Drosophila melanogaster: one gene and its partners. The protein of the gene in region 1 interacts with the protein of each later gene in a pairwise test. Each region holds a gene or a part of one and is shown on either strand. Other genes may lie near its edges. The genes, in order: PolA2, Mst84Da, CG10650 and hale.

The links.
Region 2: the proteins of PolA2 (region 1) and Mst84Da interact in a two-hybrid assay, tested with the Drosophila melanogaster proteins (one large-scale study listed by BioGRID).
Region 3: the proteins of PolA2 (region 1) and CG10650 interact in a two-hybrid assay, tested with the Drosophila melanogaster proteins (one large-scale study listed by BioGRID).
Region 4: the proteins of PolA2 (region 1) and hale interact in a two-hybrid assay, tested with the Drosophila melanogaster proteins (one large-scale study listed by BioGRID).

Annotation. Positions count from the first base shown.
Region 1 is NT_033777.3:27,237,264-27,241,794, reverse strand, and holds PolA2 (DNA polymerase alpha subunit 2), read right to left. Parts: upstream 2,633-4,531; 5' UTR 2,522-2,632; coding exon 692-2,521; 3' UTR 567-691; downstream 1-566. Other genes in the region: CG17991 (uncharacterized protein), read right to left, coding at 1-463; CG31064 (uncharacterized protein), read left to right, coding at 3,972-4,531. UniProt on the Drosophila melanogaster protein: Accessory subunit of the DNA polymerase alpha complex (also known as the alpha DNA polymerase-primase complex) which plays an essential role in the initiation of DNA synthesis.
Region 2 is NT_033777.3:7,364,324-7,366,812, reverse strand, and holds Mst84Da (Male-specific RNA 84Da), read right to left. Parts: upstream 964-2,489; 5' UTR 881-963; coding exon 842-880; exon of another isoform or gene 787-841; coding exon 634-786; 3' UTR 551-633; downstream 1-550. Other genes in the region: Mst84Db (Male-specific RNA 84Db), read left to right, coding at 1,308-1,532; Mst84Dc (Male-specific RNA 84Dc), read left to right, coding at 2,284-2,451.
Region 3 is NT_033779.5:18,992,827-18,997,627, forward strand, and holds CG10650 (uncharacterized protein), read right to left. Parts: upstream 3,109-4,801; 5' UTR 3,029-3,108; coding exon 2,953-3,028; intron 2,887-2,952; coding exon 2,776-2,886; intron 2,196-2,775; coding exon 1,311-2,195; intron 1,166-1,310; coding exon 960-1,165; 3' UTR 534-959; downstream 1-533. Other genes in the region: CG46465 (uncharacterized protein), read left to right, coding at 1-405.
Region 4 is NT_037436.4:19,983,867-19,987,616, forward strand, and holds hale (hale-bopp), read right to left. Parts: upstream 2,003-3,750; 5' UTR 1,910-2,002; coding exon 1,689-1,909; intron 1,630-1,688; coding exon 630-1,629; 3' UTR 560-629; downstream 1-559. Other genes in the region: CG17732 (uncharacterized protein), read left to right, coding at 1-325; schuy (schumacher-levy), read left to right, coding at 2,298-2,853, 2,917-3,750.

The DNA of each region.
Region 1 (4,531 bases):
GAACAACCAACAGGTCTCCCGATTGAATTATTTGATGAACGTGACCTTCCTGACCAGTGATCTGCAAATATGTTTTTGCTCCGAATGAAACCGCTGACCAATAGGCAAAGACCACCGTGAAGACATTGGCCAGGCAATTATATAAGTTTGTTAGGATAAGATCGTTGGTCAGCTCCAAAGCCCTATCGAAAATCCAGAGATTCGGGTATGCAATGGTGTACTCCGTTTGGCATTGTGGACAGGAAACGGCTTGCAGATTGTTGTTTATTCGGGTCTTCTCGTCGATCCAGAGGGAAATGCAGCTCTGGTGCACCCACTTATTGGTTCCTCGGCAGAGACATGGATTCACCCAAGCCTGGCGACCTGCCTCCTTATCGGTCTCAAAACAGATCCAGCAACAGCGCTCCAGTTCCGTCGAATCTCCTCCAGCTGAAGCTTGTGGCGCAGCAACGTTGCTAGCCATTATTGATCTTGTTGTATATAAAACTTGAGTCTGAGAAAACTCCAGGGCATATGTTTACAAATAATACAATACCTACTTTGGCCCAAAATAACTAATGCTAGTTGTTTGTTGTTGAATGTATTTTGTGAAAAGTTATGACAAAGTAGTGTGTTCATTATATTAACTAATAATATTGTACTGATCTATTTCCCACTATCCTTTCCTTATCATCATCACAAAGTGGTCAGGTTAGATGCGTTGGACTTGACACGCCACACTGTTGAACATGTTGGCCGCCTTTCCCGGCACCGAAGGCGCCACCAGGAATCGGGCGAAAGTTCCACCCTTCTTGTCCGCGACACGGCCGGGATTGATCACCAGGCAGTCGTTGACCAAGCGGATGAAATGCCGCTGATCGCTGGGCAAGATGAGCACATTTGGTAGCTGTTTGAGCTGTGCATATTTCAACGCCAGCTGGGAATCGTAGGCCATGTCTTCGTCCGCCGGCGGATACAAAGGATAGAAGGAGCCCTGGTGGAACAAGTGGTTGATGGCCCTGTGCATCCGCTCGCCGGCATTCACAGCAAACTCGTGACTCAACAGGTGGTCCACCACGTCGGTTGAGGTAACGCCCAGCGTAAAGCCATCCAAGTCCACCAGAGATGGATCGGGCAGCATGTATAGATTTGGATAGGTTCTGCGCAGAGCGGGCGGCGGCGTTGGATATACGGAAAGAGCCATGGCATCCTTCTGACTGGTCACCACCAGCACTGCTGTGTGACTACCAATCGACTCCATTATTCCCCCAATCATCTTCTCGAAGAATGTATCGAAGGTCTCGGCCAGTTCGCCGACCATCTTGTGATCGGCATCCAGGAATGGTCCCGTGAGCACCAGCACGTCAGGTCTGTGATCCTTGAGGTACTTGAGCAGGTCGTGCAGCGGTTCGTAGAAGAGATCCGTACTGTCCGTAAAGGGTCCGGAGGCCACCACAAACTGAAGCTCCCTGTCTATTTGCAGTGGCGTTGCTGGCGTCAGTTTGCGCTCTGTGTGTATCTCCTCTACCATGAAGGTTTTGCCCCTGGGTATGAACCCTTTGGCGAGCACCACTTGACCTGGGAATATGCTGGCAGACTTGACCCTGGAGAAGTTGAGCGTGAGCGTTGGGTCCATTTCATCTTCTACATCGTCATCTAAAACGGCCATAAATGCGGAGTGGGCGTCCAGTGGGCCATCGTCCTCGGAATGAATCATTCCCACCGCGTGGAGTCCACCTGCGGACTGCAATACCTGCCTATCCTGCGGATACCAAATGCACTCGGCTGCGCCTGCTTGTCCAAGTTTCTTGTCCACTAGTGCCGGACCGGTTTGGTTGAAGCGGACGCGCAGGTTGTGACATCGGTCGGTCAGCAGGTCGTTCATGTAGCCCAAATTTGCGATGGTCAGCGGGGCGTCGTTGTGCAGCAGTTTTTGAGTCACCGGAACCGTGTGCTCCATTTGTGACTGCCAGCTGGAGCCAGCCAGGAGTTTGGGATGTCCGAAGGTGTCAACTATATCGCCCGGCTTGCCGGCCACTGAGTTGGATGGTGTTTCTAAACCTGCTTTCCTCTTTGCCGATTGGGGTGTATAGCTGGCGGGGCTAAAGAGTGCGGCGCCCTTGAGATTGGCGGTCCGATCCGACTGCTTCTTGGCCTTGGGCGTGTGCAGAGCGGAGGAGTCCACTGCCGATTCGCTGACATAGTCATCCAGCATGGGATCGTCCTCCATGACGCCATAGGTGGCCAGTGAGCTCGTATCCTGTACAGAGGGCGAACCATATGATTTCGCCTTCTGGCCAGTTGCCTTGTATCCCGCCTTGTCCTTCCGCAGCTGCAACACCTTGCGCTCAAAGTCGCCCAGATTCTCGATCGCAGGATCCTCGCCTTGGAGGTGCGACAAACTGAAGGCCATCCACTGCTCCACGAACTCGGTGGCGTCGTGGATGTTGTAGGTAATGGCCAGCTCCGCACACCTGCCCAGAACTGCGTCCGCTGGCTCCACGCCCATCTCGTCGAACTGCTGCTTCAATTCCTCCTCCATTCGTTGTCCTTTCGTTGGGCGTTTAATTTTCGTAAATAAACCTAGCAATTTATTTTGGCGGTAAAAGTGGGCACAGTGTTGCCACCCTATGATGCTTTTAACACCTGCTTGAGTTTTCTTATCGATAAGCATAGTCAGTTCAATAACATAACAGCTCCCATCGAGCTGCGATAACCGTGATCTGTAACCAGTGATTGTTATCGCCCATCCCCAATCGCAGTGCAACAGCTGTTTTAATTTTGTATTGACAAACTTTTTTGTTTACCCGCGTTCAAGCGCAAAACAAGCGAAATTAGCGGCTGTAATCGCGTCATTTTGATTCATGTGACTCCGCACAGTGTCCTGATAATCGCCGCGAAGCAAGTGATTCGCCATGAGCACGGACGATCTGCTGGTGCGCCGCGAAAGGAGTGAAGACTCCCAATCCTCGAGTGTCTCCATTCCGGTTACGCCCACCACCGGAGGTGCCGCGCCTGCGCCCAGCGCCCCCACGTCATCGCTGGACCGCCTGCGGAACACCTTCCGGCGCACGGAGAGCATCTCCTCGCAGATCTTCAGCCACATATCCACACAGTTCTCGAATGCGGCCGCAGCAGCCGCCTCTTCCGAGGTAATCGATGGCACCACCACGTACCCGTATCCCGACGAGCCCGCACCACCTGTTGTACCTGTTGCGCCGGACACGGTGGCGAGCGCCAGTGCTTCATCCCCGTCGCCATCGAAACTGAAAGCAAAGCGACTGAAACGCGGTGAGTCCGAATTATTATTCATTCGATGATAAGCAGCAATGGAAACCAAATTTCCATTGTGCGCTAATAATAATATGTTAAGTAATAATGTTGCATATATAAAATATATTATATATAATATATATAAATATATACACATATATATTTAATATAACAATTTAGGTACTCAAAACTATTCTAAAATGTATTTATTAATTAGTATTAGCAATTTCGTGGGCTGTGCGAAACTGTCGTTGAAATATTTCGGTACTTGTATAAATAATATGATTAAAAATAACTTAAAAGTGCATTGGGAAAGTGTCAAAGGTGATTTGCGCACCACACACAGCGTGACCATCGAGAACACCCCCAACGAAAGCTCGCGAGGAGCTTGCGAGCTTGGCGCACTGGACAAATCAATAGGATAAAGAACTTTTTGCCAGTCTTACTCAACGCGTACACAACAGGATAACGGTGCAAAATCAAAGCGGCGAGAACTTTCGGTTATTTTGTTAATTTCAGAAGTAAAACCCTCTGGAAAAGAGGTTTACAAAAGGAAAAAACCCCTCTAAGGTAATGAAAAAACAGTTGAGGGAAAGCGGCAGCAAAGGAAACTCGGAACTTATTGAACAGCTAATATCGATATATGTATATATCTGTATTTTTATGGACGCCCACGCACACACACACACTACTCAGGCGTACTTTGAAGCAGCAGCGAAATGCGTGGACTTGTCGAGGATACAAAAAGGACCAAGTTGTCGTCGGCGAACAACAACAACCTCAGCAGCACCAGCGGCAGCGGTCGCATCAAGTCGAGCAGCCTTGCAACAGGATCAAGTGCCAGCGGCAGCAGCTCGAAGCCCTTGAGAAGTGCAGTGAAAACGCCAACATCGGGCAGCGCGACGTCATTGTCGTCAGGAACAATGGCTGCCAAGAAGGCGCCTCAAACGGGGCAACAACAAGTAGGCAAGTCTGCAAAGTCCGCCACGGCAGCAACTCCAACTGGCACAACAGCAACAGCAATTGGAGCAACGGCAACAACAAGGGCGCAAGCAGCAGCGGCGAAGAGCCAAAAGGGTCAGAATCCACCCTCACAACAAGTGCAGCCGAAACAGCAGCCGCCACAACCGCAACAGACACAGCAGCAACCCCTGGTGTTGCAGCAACAACAGGCGAGCAACAGCAGCAATACGATTGCCTTGCCAAAGGCATCGCATGCCAACACCAGCGAGGAGCTAGCCGGCGGTGTCCAGGACACCATTTACCTGTGCAATTTCCG
Region 2 (2,489 bases), about 20 Mb from region 1:
CAACCGGTCCTGGTCTGGTTCTATGAGCACGGTGTGTGTCTCAGTCTGTCAGCCAAGCGGGAACTTGATAAGGACAAAAGGTTCGATGCCTTTCTGGCGTTTACCCATAAGGACGAGGCTCTGCTGGAGGAGTTCGTGGATAGGCTGGAACGTGGTAGGCCCAGGTTCCAACTCTGCTTCTACCTGCGAGACTGGCTGGCGGGCGAATCTATTCCCGATTGCATTGGTCAATCTATAAAGGACTCGCGGCGCATTATTGTCCTCATGACAGAGAACTTTATGAATTCCACTTGGGGTCGCCTCGAGTTCCGACTGGCCCTCCACGCCACCTCACGCGATCGGTGCAAGCGTCTGATAGTGGTGCTCTATCCAAACGTGAAGAACTTCGACAGTCTGGATAGCGAGCTAAGGACCTACATGGCATTTAACACCTATCTGGAGAGAAGCCATCCGAACTTTTGGAACAAGCTGATTTACTCGATGCCGCTACTACCAAGCTACGTTGACTAGGACATTACATTATTAATTTCAATAAGAAACAAAAATATATAATTTGTTGTCTCCCACACAGTTTATTTTTTGAGATTTACATAGTTCCCGGAAGTATTCCGACAGGTTTCCGGGTCAACTGGTTTAGCAGCAAGGACCGCAACCGCAAAAACTGCTGGTGCCGCCGCAGCAAGGTCCACATCCTCCGCAAGGACCACAGCAGGGGCCACACCCACCACAGCAGGGGCCACATCCACCACAGGGTCCGCATCCGCCGCAGGGGCCACAGCAGGGGCCCTGATAAATCATATTAAAAGTATTCACTCGACTTACGAGACCGATAAATACATACCCCAACCAAAACGTAATTCGGGTTGACGTACATGTACATGATTTTGTTTCTTAAAAGATATTTCCCAACCGGAATCGAAAGGAACCGAAAATTTAGGTGTTAACTATTGAAGGTGGAACGGAGAACTGACTGAATGTGATCCAAATTAGCCGAAGCTTCATTTGACAGCAGTCATGAGAATTTCAAGGCTAATATGATCCGACAAATTATATTCATTATTATTATTATATTCTGGTATCCCAAAACCCATAATCTAGTTAGCTATGGATATTTTCGACAGTTGTCAAATTCATATACCAACTTGTGAGTCAGGTTTCCATCATTCTTATTTTGGTTCTCGGCCTGTAATCATCGAAATATTTTTTCGTCCTAAGTTATTTCTTTGTTAGGTTCAAAGTGAGTATTTCTCAAAGTGTAAGCATGCGAAGTTTTAACAAAATTTTTCTTAGAACTTTACGGAACCATCATGTGTTGCGGACCCCTTGGATTCTGCGGACCCTGTAGCCCGTGCGGCGGTCCTTGCGGACCTTGCGGACCCTGTGGTCCTTGCGGTTCCTGCTGTAGTCCTTGTGGATCTTGCTGTGCGCCTTGCGGCCCTTGCGGTCCTTGCGGTCCTTGCTGCGGGGGCTGTGGTCCATGCGGGCCTTGTGGACCTTGCTGTGGACCTTGTAGGCCATATTGCGGGTGCTGAACAACAACCACAACATGTAAAATATCTTTTTCCTGTGAACCACAAAGTGGAACTTAGGACTGAATGCGGATAAACTCTTCTTAGCTCGCGGGCCTAGTCAATAAAATAAGAATTTCAAAATACCTTTTCCGATGGTTTTTCTCTTCTAAATGGTGCAACCTTTGTCTTAGCTATGGATACCAAATGCGTGACAATAATAATTTATGTAATATAATTGCGAAAATTAAAATTGTCAATTCTTGGTGGATTGCGATCGTTAGAGGGGGCGGAGGAACATCCTACGTTCATATCGACTAGGCTTGTGATCCAGCTCAAGAATAAATAACCTTTTCTTCTATTCACTATAGCATAGCTATTACTCTACGAGTGGCGGGTATAAAACCTGCAACCGTGAATTTAAACCTCATTCAATAATAGTATTTGTCTGCAAACGGACAAATGTCCGATAACAATAATTCTATAACAATAATAACTATTTTTAACCATCAACCGCTGTACATAAACATAATTCGAATTCATAGTAGGCTATGGAAATCGTTCTTGACCTGTCAGACCCACCTAACCTTGTAAGTTCGGAAAATATATCATTCTCATCTCGACCCTTGTGCTGCTCGCATCAAAATTTTGTTGTTTTGTCCCAAATACTTGTTTTTTTTTTTTGGCTTCTAAAGACCGTTGGTAAAAATGTTTATTGTAAAGTTAAAATAGTATACATATTTATTTCGTTTATTTTAGACTTCTCGAATTAATCATGTGCTGTGGACCTTGTGGATCGTGCTGCGGATATTACTGCTGTGGTCCCTGCTGTGGACCTTGTGGACCCCGATGTGGGCCGTGCGGATCCTGCTGTGGACCCTGTGGACCCTGTGGACCTTGTTGCGGACCATTTGGCAGTTGTTGCGGTGGCTGTTGGTGCTAAATGCTCGCAATTGGCAGCCGAATCGATTTGTGAAACCA
Region 3 (4,801 bases), on another chromosome or scaffold:
ACAACGCTTTCTCCGCCTATAAGATGCCTCAGTTGTAAATTTTGCTCACCCAATGAGGGGAAAACCAGAACTAGGAAGGGCAAAAAGATGTGCCACATAAAGTTAGGCGAATTGAACGGTTGCGTATCTATGTACTTCAACTTCAACAGCAGTGCTGGAGGACCAGATGGCTTTATGGTGAGAAGCTGCATTTCCGACATGGACGAGAGTTCACTGGAACACTGCGAGAAACATGCAGAACTCTGTGAGAGGTGTTTCGAAGACGATTGCAACTATGTGGAAATAGATAAAAATGGTTTGGCCACGAATGCAGGATCGCGAATAATATACTCAAGTCTAATGATCTTCTGTTTAGCCGGCTGGCTCTTTAGGAGTGAAAAATGCAAACTTATGATTATATTATAGGCCTGTTCAGCTTAATAATGGCAAATTGAAAACCAAAATTATGGAATTCGGCGAAATCACCATCGTCATGTAATGGAAAATGTAATTTGAGTTACCTAAGAATGCTACAAATACTTTCTGAGACATTTCCAACTGGCTCTTCTAGTGCACCCAAACAAATTTCTTCGAACTATTGTTAATATAAACTCTCATTTTGATTGATGCAATAAATATACACACATATATGTACAAAGTATATTATTAATGGTACTGCGGTTGATAAGGCGTTGTGATTATTTCTTTATTTGATAAGGCCTAGCAGGTTGAAAACTCTTTTACCACTAGCCATCAATGAAAACAGGGTTTTCCAAGGACATAATTACTAAACTACTGTGAAAGAGTAATTGTTTTATTAAAATGATTTATTTGGGATTATGGAAGTGTTCTTAAAATGCTTCAGCTCCTATAATTAGGTTATGTCTTTTTGTCTGTTGCTTTGTAATAGTTAACATTACTCATAGACCCAGGCACCCGGTAATTTGATTGGATCATCCAACTACGTGGAGGTGGTTGGATTACAGGGCACTGCGTAGAGCGATCACCACTCCCGTCAGAAGGCCGACCACGCCCACATTCCTGAGTGCGCCTGCTCCATTGAAGGGTACCTTGTTGCACTTGCTCTCCGTACACAATTCGCACTGATGGGCCTCCACTTTGGCATTGCACTGGTACTGCATCAGGTGGCTGGCAGCGGTAAAACATCCTCGCACTCCAAGTTCATCTGGGGGAAAATGTTGAAAGGCAATTGTTAGGATTTTTGCTGGCATAATAATAATGCAATTTGGGAATACCCTTTTACATTATAAAATAAAATCTTTGAAAACTATAGCATTGATTCGCTGTGCTTAGACTTGGTACCAACTTACTCCAGACTCCGCTGTAGCACGTTCCATTGGGGCAGTTGATCAAAGGGAGCGTGTCCGGATATTTGGCCGACCAGCAGCCGGAAACCTCATTCGAAATGCATGTAATGCACTGGAACTCGCCGGCAGCCACATTGCAGCCATTTTCGGAGCAGGAAGTGCAGGCATTGGTTGTAGAGCAGCCAGCCTCCAAGGTGTTTAGGCACCCTCGGGTAACATTGGTTCCTGAGGTCATGGTATAACACCCGACTTCCTGGTTGTACTTGGCCTGTCCGCAGGACTTCGCATTGGTAGCAACCTGTTGCTCCGCACAGTTCTCGCAAATGATACAGGAACCGGCCTCTCGTTCGTAGGTCGGACTATTGCAAAAGTCGGAGTTGCAGACGAGGCAACTGGGATCAGTGCTGTCCGACGCACACTTGATTTCCGTGGTGGCCGATGTGCAACCACGGGTCATGTTGCTCGCAGACGTTCCGGTGGTGAAGCACCCGGCATCGATTTGACTACATCCCGCGACCAAGGTATTTGAGACCGCATTGCAGTTCTCTCCTGAGCAATTATAGCACTGGCGACGATTGGCGGGGAATAGTCCCACATTGCACAGGGATGCCGAGCATGAGGAGCACGTGGATTCCGTTCCAGCAGCACAGGGGTCACCACATTGACGGGTCACCGTCTTGTTGTCATTCAACTGATTCACGCAGACCTGTCCATTATTGGGGCACACTGCATTGTATTGCGTATCCGTCACGTTGGTCGTGGCGCAATTCGCTTCGCCGAGGCACTGCTGGCACACCAAATTCAAATTGCAATTGTCTTCCTTGCAGGTCGAGCAGGATGGTAAGGTGCACGCAGTGCCATTAATCAAGCAGCCACGAGTTAGAGTTCCTATTGGGATACAGAAAATCAATAACTAGATGCAAGGGAATATGGTTCAGAGCAAAACTTCGTATGATTTCTAATATAAACTTATAATGATTTCTAATATAACTTATATATTCCTTATAAGTTGAGAGCCTGCAGATTCTAGTGGCGCCTAAGCTGTGCTAATTTCATTCAGATCATTTTCACGCCCACTCTAAAGCCCACAAAGCGTGCCAGATTCTACTGATACTTCAACAGAATGTTTAAATGTGTACCTTAAACTCCCACAAGCTGAATAAAGAGGTATCTGATGGTCGAGTGACTCCACTTTAGCGTTCTCTTCGTTATTAAATCAAATTATACGCAATATTTAAATCTTAGACAACAACACGAAAAAGCCAGGTAGTGCAGTAACTGCCAAATGAGTCACAACATCATAAACCTTTTTCGATCCGCACGAAATTAGAAAAGAAAACAAGGATCAATAGCTATCAAAAAGAAAAAGAGATAATCGCTTATCACCTTTGGTTGCACTGATCGATAAGAGGGCCACTACCCCCGTCTAAGAATATGAAATAGTCGGTCATGAGTCATACAAACCCACCTGCGTTAATAAGAGTATAGCATTCATTATCACACTCTATAGAAGTTTGAGTAGATGGACTCGTTAAACAATTTCCAGTGTCATTCGTCGTCGATGTGCACGAATAGCACTCTGCAATGGCAATAATAATTTGAAGTAAGTCATTTGAAAAAACTCATCCAAAATGTGGTAACCTACGGAGGGCTGAGGTGCTGTCCAGCTGGCTGGCAATGAAAGCTGCTATCACAATCATACACAGGCTGTATTCTCTCATGGCTCTCGGTTTTCTATTCTTTCTGGCTTCTCAACTGAAATGTCGGACCGGCTGGATCGACCACCGTTTTTTAACTGGCTCCCTCACTGTTTGGCCATATTTTTTTTACCCCCATTCGCATAATCAATTTCACCTGAACTCACTAACACCTGCCAAGCTCTTCTCCGCATGCAGTGGTTATCTGCTCTACACACATATATATGTTTGTATACATATATATATATATATATATATATATGTACAATCGGAGGAAGTCAGTTCTCTTTTAGCTGATAACTTCAATACCCAGGTGTAAATGTGCAAGTGTGTGTGTGTACAACGCTGTTCACATGCGATGATAGTTACCACAAGCCTGCATTTACTTTGGAGCTTTTGCAAAAGCTGAAAAATTAACCCATGCTGCCAACGTTCTTACCGTATTTCCTTAAACGAATATACATCAACAGTAACTTCCTGTTTCCGATCTAGCCGGCGGATAATTGAACACAATTATAACGATAATTAAATACTTTAATTAAAATTTGGTTTGCCTTGGCTGTACGGCAGTTATATGATATATTTTCTTTTGATTTTCATCAAATTAAAATATGGTCAAAAACTGTTGTATATCTCATACATATATTAATACTTACCATTATTTTTCGATTATCCCTATAACAGCAATATGATATAGTGGTCCAACCTATATGTATACTAACTGAAATTGAACGAAGACAAACATGACTGTATCGACTCTACTGTTGAATATACGAATCTGAATGAAATCAATGTACCATTTGCAAGGGTATAAAAATAAAAGGCGCCACCAAAAACTGCATGAATAATCTCAATTTCCAGATTTTACAGGTTCGACAAACTTTCCATTTGATTATGGATTGACTATAGTTCCATTGATAAAAAAAATAATGTAATTTGAACTAACAAGAAAGAACTCAATTCCTATCAGATACCCAGATTTAATTGAATAAATACACATTTGTAGGGTCAAAAACACTTTCTTGTTTCATAGTTTTTAACCCTTATATTCTACGAGGAAAGTGTACAATTATATATGTAAAGCTGTATTGCCCAATTTTCTGGCTAATAACATATAAACAATGTGCCTTAACTACAAGTCATATATCTTAACGATACTTGAGGATTGAAGTGAGACTTTTGTTTATATGTGAACGTTCGTTCTCAAGTTTATAATTTCGGTTACTCGTTCTTGAACTTATGTGTTTGCTTTTAAGTTTTTTTTTTTTTTATCGTTCGTTCCTAATTTAATATCGAAACTTAATTTTTCTCTCAGTGTCTTAATAAAAATTATTATTATTTATTGTATTTGGGCGACTTCTTAAATTCTGCACATGCCGGTGTTTTATGTTATTAAGGTTTAAGTTGAAGTCTAGACAAAATGATTCAATAAAACAAAGTACAAATAGTAAGTACATACTTTTATATCTTTTTATCTTTAGCATATCATTTAAGGTTTTTTTGAACCAGACTGGTATTCAACATAAAGCCATTATCTTCAAAAAATATAACCGAAATCTAATCTGGGTTATCTCCGGCGAATTTAGCACCGAGAGCTAATCATGTTGCTCACACTCAGTACCTTTAAGATCTTTTCTACGCGCGGACGTATTGCTGTTTAGTTGAATTTCTGGCATTGCAATTTAATAAATTAGTTCGTTGGAAAGCATGTTATACGTTGAAAAGTGCAAGTGACTTCAAGCCTAGAAGGTATAAATATTTTTGATCATTCGATCCGACTATGTCTGTCCATATAAG
Region 4 (3,750 bases), on another chromosome or scaffold:
ACCCGAGTCGCATACCACGGCAGTTGAGCTGCAGCAAAGATTTCTCCTTCCGCCACCTCCGTATTGCCAATCCAGCAGCAGGACCTGCACCCAAGTTAGTCCCTCTGCCCGGAAAGTGAGGCGTTGTCGCACAAGGATTTCTGAGCTGGGAACGGATCCGTATCCTTGCCAAATAAGAACTCCCTTGCCGCCAGCTTCGCTGATCTTGCCCGGCCACCGGAATTTGCAATCCCAACCCCTTGAGCCCAGAAACGACCATTTCGGAATAAACTCGGTCATGTCCAACTACGTGGCTAGCTTTATGAACATGCAGGCTGATCGATAATTACTTTTAATTACAGTTCATTGTTTAACGAACATTACTTGTGATATAAGTCCTAGCTGCTGTAGAAATTGTGAAAGAATTCATTTTTTATGTATCATAAAATATTTATAAATAGGGTTTAAATATTACAAACTAATAAACGAAAAAAAAACCTTAAAAGTGACTCTCTCTTCATATTGCAAGAATAAATATTCTTATTATTGAATTCAATTAAGAAATAGTGGCAAGCTGCTTGCTTAAAAGTCTTGGAATTTTATTACACTTTCTTCTTTTACAGTGTAGGAGTGGCTCTTAGTCCCCTTCCCTAGCGACCATCTCTTGGAGGAGCTCGCACCAAGCCGGGATGCCAGAAGCAGTTGGAGCAGTTGCAGCGCGGACAATGCCAGCAGTTTCCGCACTTCATGCACACATTTCCGGTCGCATGTTGGGTGGGCGAGGAGCAGGGGGATGGACCTGGTACGGATCCGCCACTGTCCCAGAGATCCTTGTTCCGGAGACACGAACGACTGCGCTTCGGGCTGGCCGAACGAGCTCTTGGCAGCCCGGCGGCGGAGGCAGATGTGGCTGTTGGGGATGATGACGAGGATGGTGGTTGTGGTGGTGCAGCTGGAGGAGCACAAGGAGCTGCCGGCGGGCAATGAGGCTCTCTCTTCGCCGAACTGGAATCTGGCTGATCTAGAAACCTAACCGTGGGCGCATACAGCTGGAAAGCCAGAGGCTGGGGGATCTGCAGGTCACAACAGGACCTCTCCCGTTCCTTGCGCAATTCGGCCAGCAGGCGATTGAAGGACAGGTCGTACTGCACCAATTGCTGCAACGGCAGCTGCGAGTCCTGTGCGGGATTCGTCAGCAGCTGCTGATGCGTCAAGTGCTGCGGTTGGGCCAGCGGCACCAGGTTCCACGATGGCGGAACTGGAATCAGGCTGCACAAGTAAACGGGCTGATTTAAGCCACCATGGGAACTGGGTGGTGCCAGGCAAAAGATCTGCGGCATCGCTGGGGCTCCTTGAGCCAACGATGATTCCTGTCGATAGCATCTTGATGGATTTGGCTGCGAATCATATCCAGCGCATGGTCCACCGGCTGAACAACACTGGCCATGAAAGCTGCAAGGAGAGGCCTGGATGGGATTGGGCATCGGAGTTGGATATGGATTGGCACTAGGACTGGCACTTGGACCGGCTGTACCTGGCTGGCCAAATCTGTCCAAGCCACCATTGAACTGGGTACAGCTCGAGCAGATCATGTGATTTTTGTATTCATCCAAATTGAAAGAATTCGGCAGTGGCACATTGCAGTCAATGCTGGAGAGGAAGGGAGTAGAAATCGAATCACTTTTCATGGAAATTCATGTATAAATTACCTCAGACCCTCTGGACACTCGGTGACCAGGCACATGCCCAGTCGCGGTGGTTCCACCTCGGACTTGGAGGGCACATCGTTGGTCGACAGTGGAGCGTAGGACATGGTGAACTGATGCTGTGAATTTCCCTGCGACTGCAGGCCGCCACCGTTTCCATTGGCGATCAGCTTGCCCGACGAGGTTGCATTGCATCCGTGCTCACAGCTCTCCGTGCAGAACATCTTCAACTCTTCACCACCCGGAGAGGCCAACTCACGGATATGACAATTTTGTGTACATGTTAAAGCACAAAAGGTGTAGAAATGTTTGACATCATAAAGCTGAGACATACTGATTGATACCAGACTTGCTTCTCTAGTATATAATTTGAATTATTTTAAGAAATAAATACTGTTTCAAGTTTTTAAATAATTTTATCTTATTAATATTAATATGGTTCTAAAATCTTAAACACCAAGAACGTTTTGGTCACTACTTACACAGTAAGGGAAATCCAGTTTCGATGAGCATTTCAAAGTTGACAGTACATTTGTCGCCTGATATACTTTTTGATATGCGTTAGGAAACATCAACTCACAACACCCGGAAAACACATCAAAATTCAGGAAAATGGAGGCCCCAGGCGAGAATGAATCATCAGGGCAATTGGCCAAATCAAATGACGAAACGGTGGCCAAATGCTGTTTCATGATTACCGTGGGCACTGATGGTCTCATCGAAATTAGCTCACTTAATCAGGAATGCAAGAATCCCCAAAGCGGAGCAGACAGTAGTAACTCCCCACTGACGAATGGCACTAAGGAAACCAAGAAAGAGTGCATAGCTGTGCTCAAAGGGAATTCAAATGACATCGATGATGACTCAACTGAAAAGCTGGAGAAGAGCAAGAATGACAAGTCCATAGAGGAGATCAAGAAAACCGAAACTTTGCCGCCTTTCGTTAAGATCTGCAACAAGGATCTGGCGAATAGACCTTCGTTCGTGGTTCTCGAGGATGCTTTGGCTAGGAATCGGATTCAACAGGACATAGAACAGTCGAAGGAAGACCAAACCGGCAAGTGTCAGACGCAGCAGACCTCGCGTTCCTACGCCATTTCTAATGCAGGATCCCAGACGGACAAAGCCTTTCCGCAGTATCCAACCACCAGCAATAGCAACCAGAAAGGTTATATTATTCATTTTAGATTGCTTCTATATTTATGTTCCTTCCTCCCTCTTTATTCCCCAGGTAACACTGTACAAGCCGCTCGGAAGTTATCCCTTCAAACTGCAGCCCAGGTCCGACAAAAACTTTTAAAATTAAATCGGGAGCAACAGCAACAACAGCGACAACCGTCGCTGAATGAGCAGCATCAACAGCAAATGTCCTTGCTGCAACATCAGAACATGCAGCAGAATGTGCTGCAGCAGCAGCAGCAACATATGCAGCAGCATTTGACGCTGCAGCAACACCCGAACGTGCGAGTTCAACCGACCAACAACTCGCCATATGTGACCATCAGTTTTATGCACATGAATCAGCCGGGGACGGCAACATCGGGTTGTCCTGTCATGTATCCTGGCCAGCAGTTCCTGTGCGCCACGCCGAGCAGCATGTCCAGCTGCTCCTGCTGCACGTGCAGCAATTGCTGTCCGTCGAGGACGAGTCAAGTCTGCCCAATGCAGATGGGCAATCAGTATCAATGTCCAGCCAACGGAAGCAACTGCTGCATGTTGAAGCCGGAGAGTTTTGCAAACGGCTGCTACAACGGTGGTACATCCTGCTGTCCTTTGTCGAGCATGGAATCACATCCTTCTATGGGATTAGGTGGTCAGATCAGCCAGCACATGATGCACCCAGTTCTCGGAACCTCCACTTGTGCGCTGCAGCAGCAGCCGAATATTCCGATTTCTGGAGGATTTTATCCCTGTTGCTCGTGCCAATCCTTGTGCAACCAGTGTTCCCAGTGCAGGACGCACCCCCATCCTTGTTGCCACTGCCTGGGACCCTTCAACAACCAACAGGTGTTCCAATCACAGCAGCAGCAGCAACAAGCCCAAAGTGTCTGCTGCCCCTTGAAAC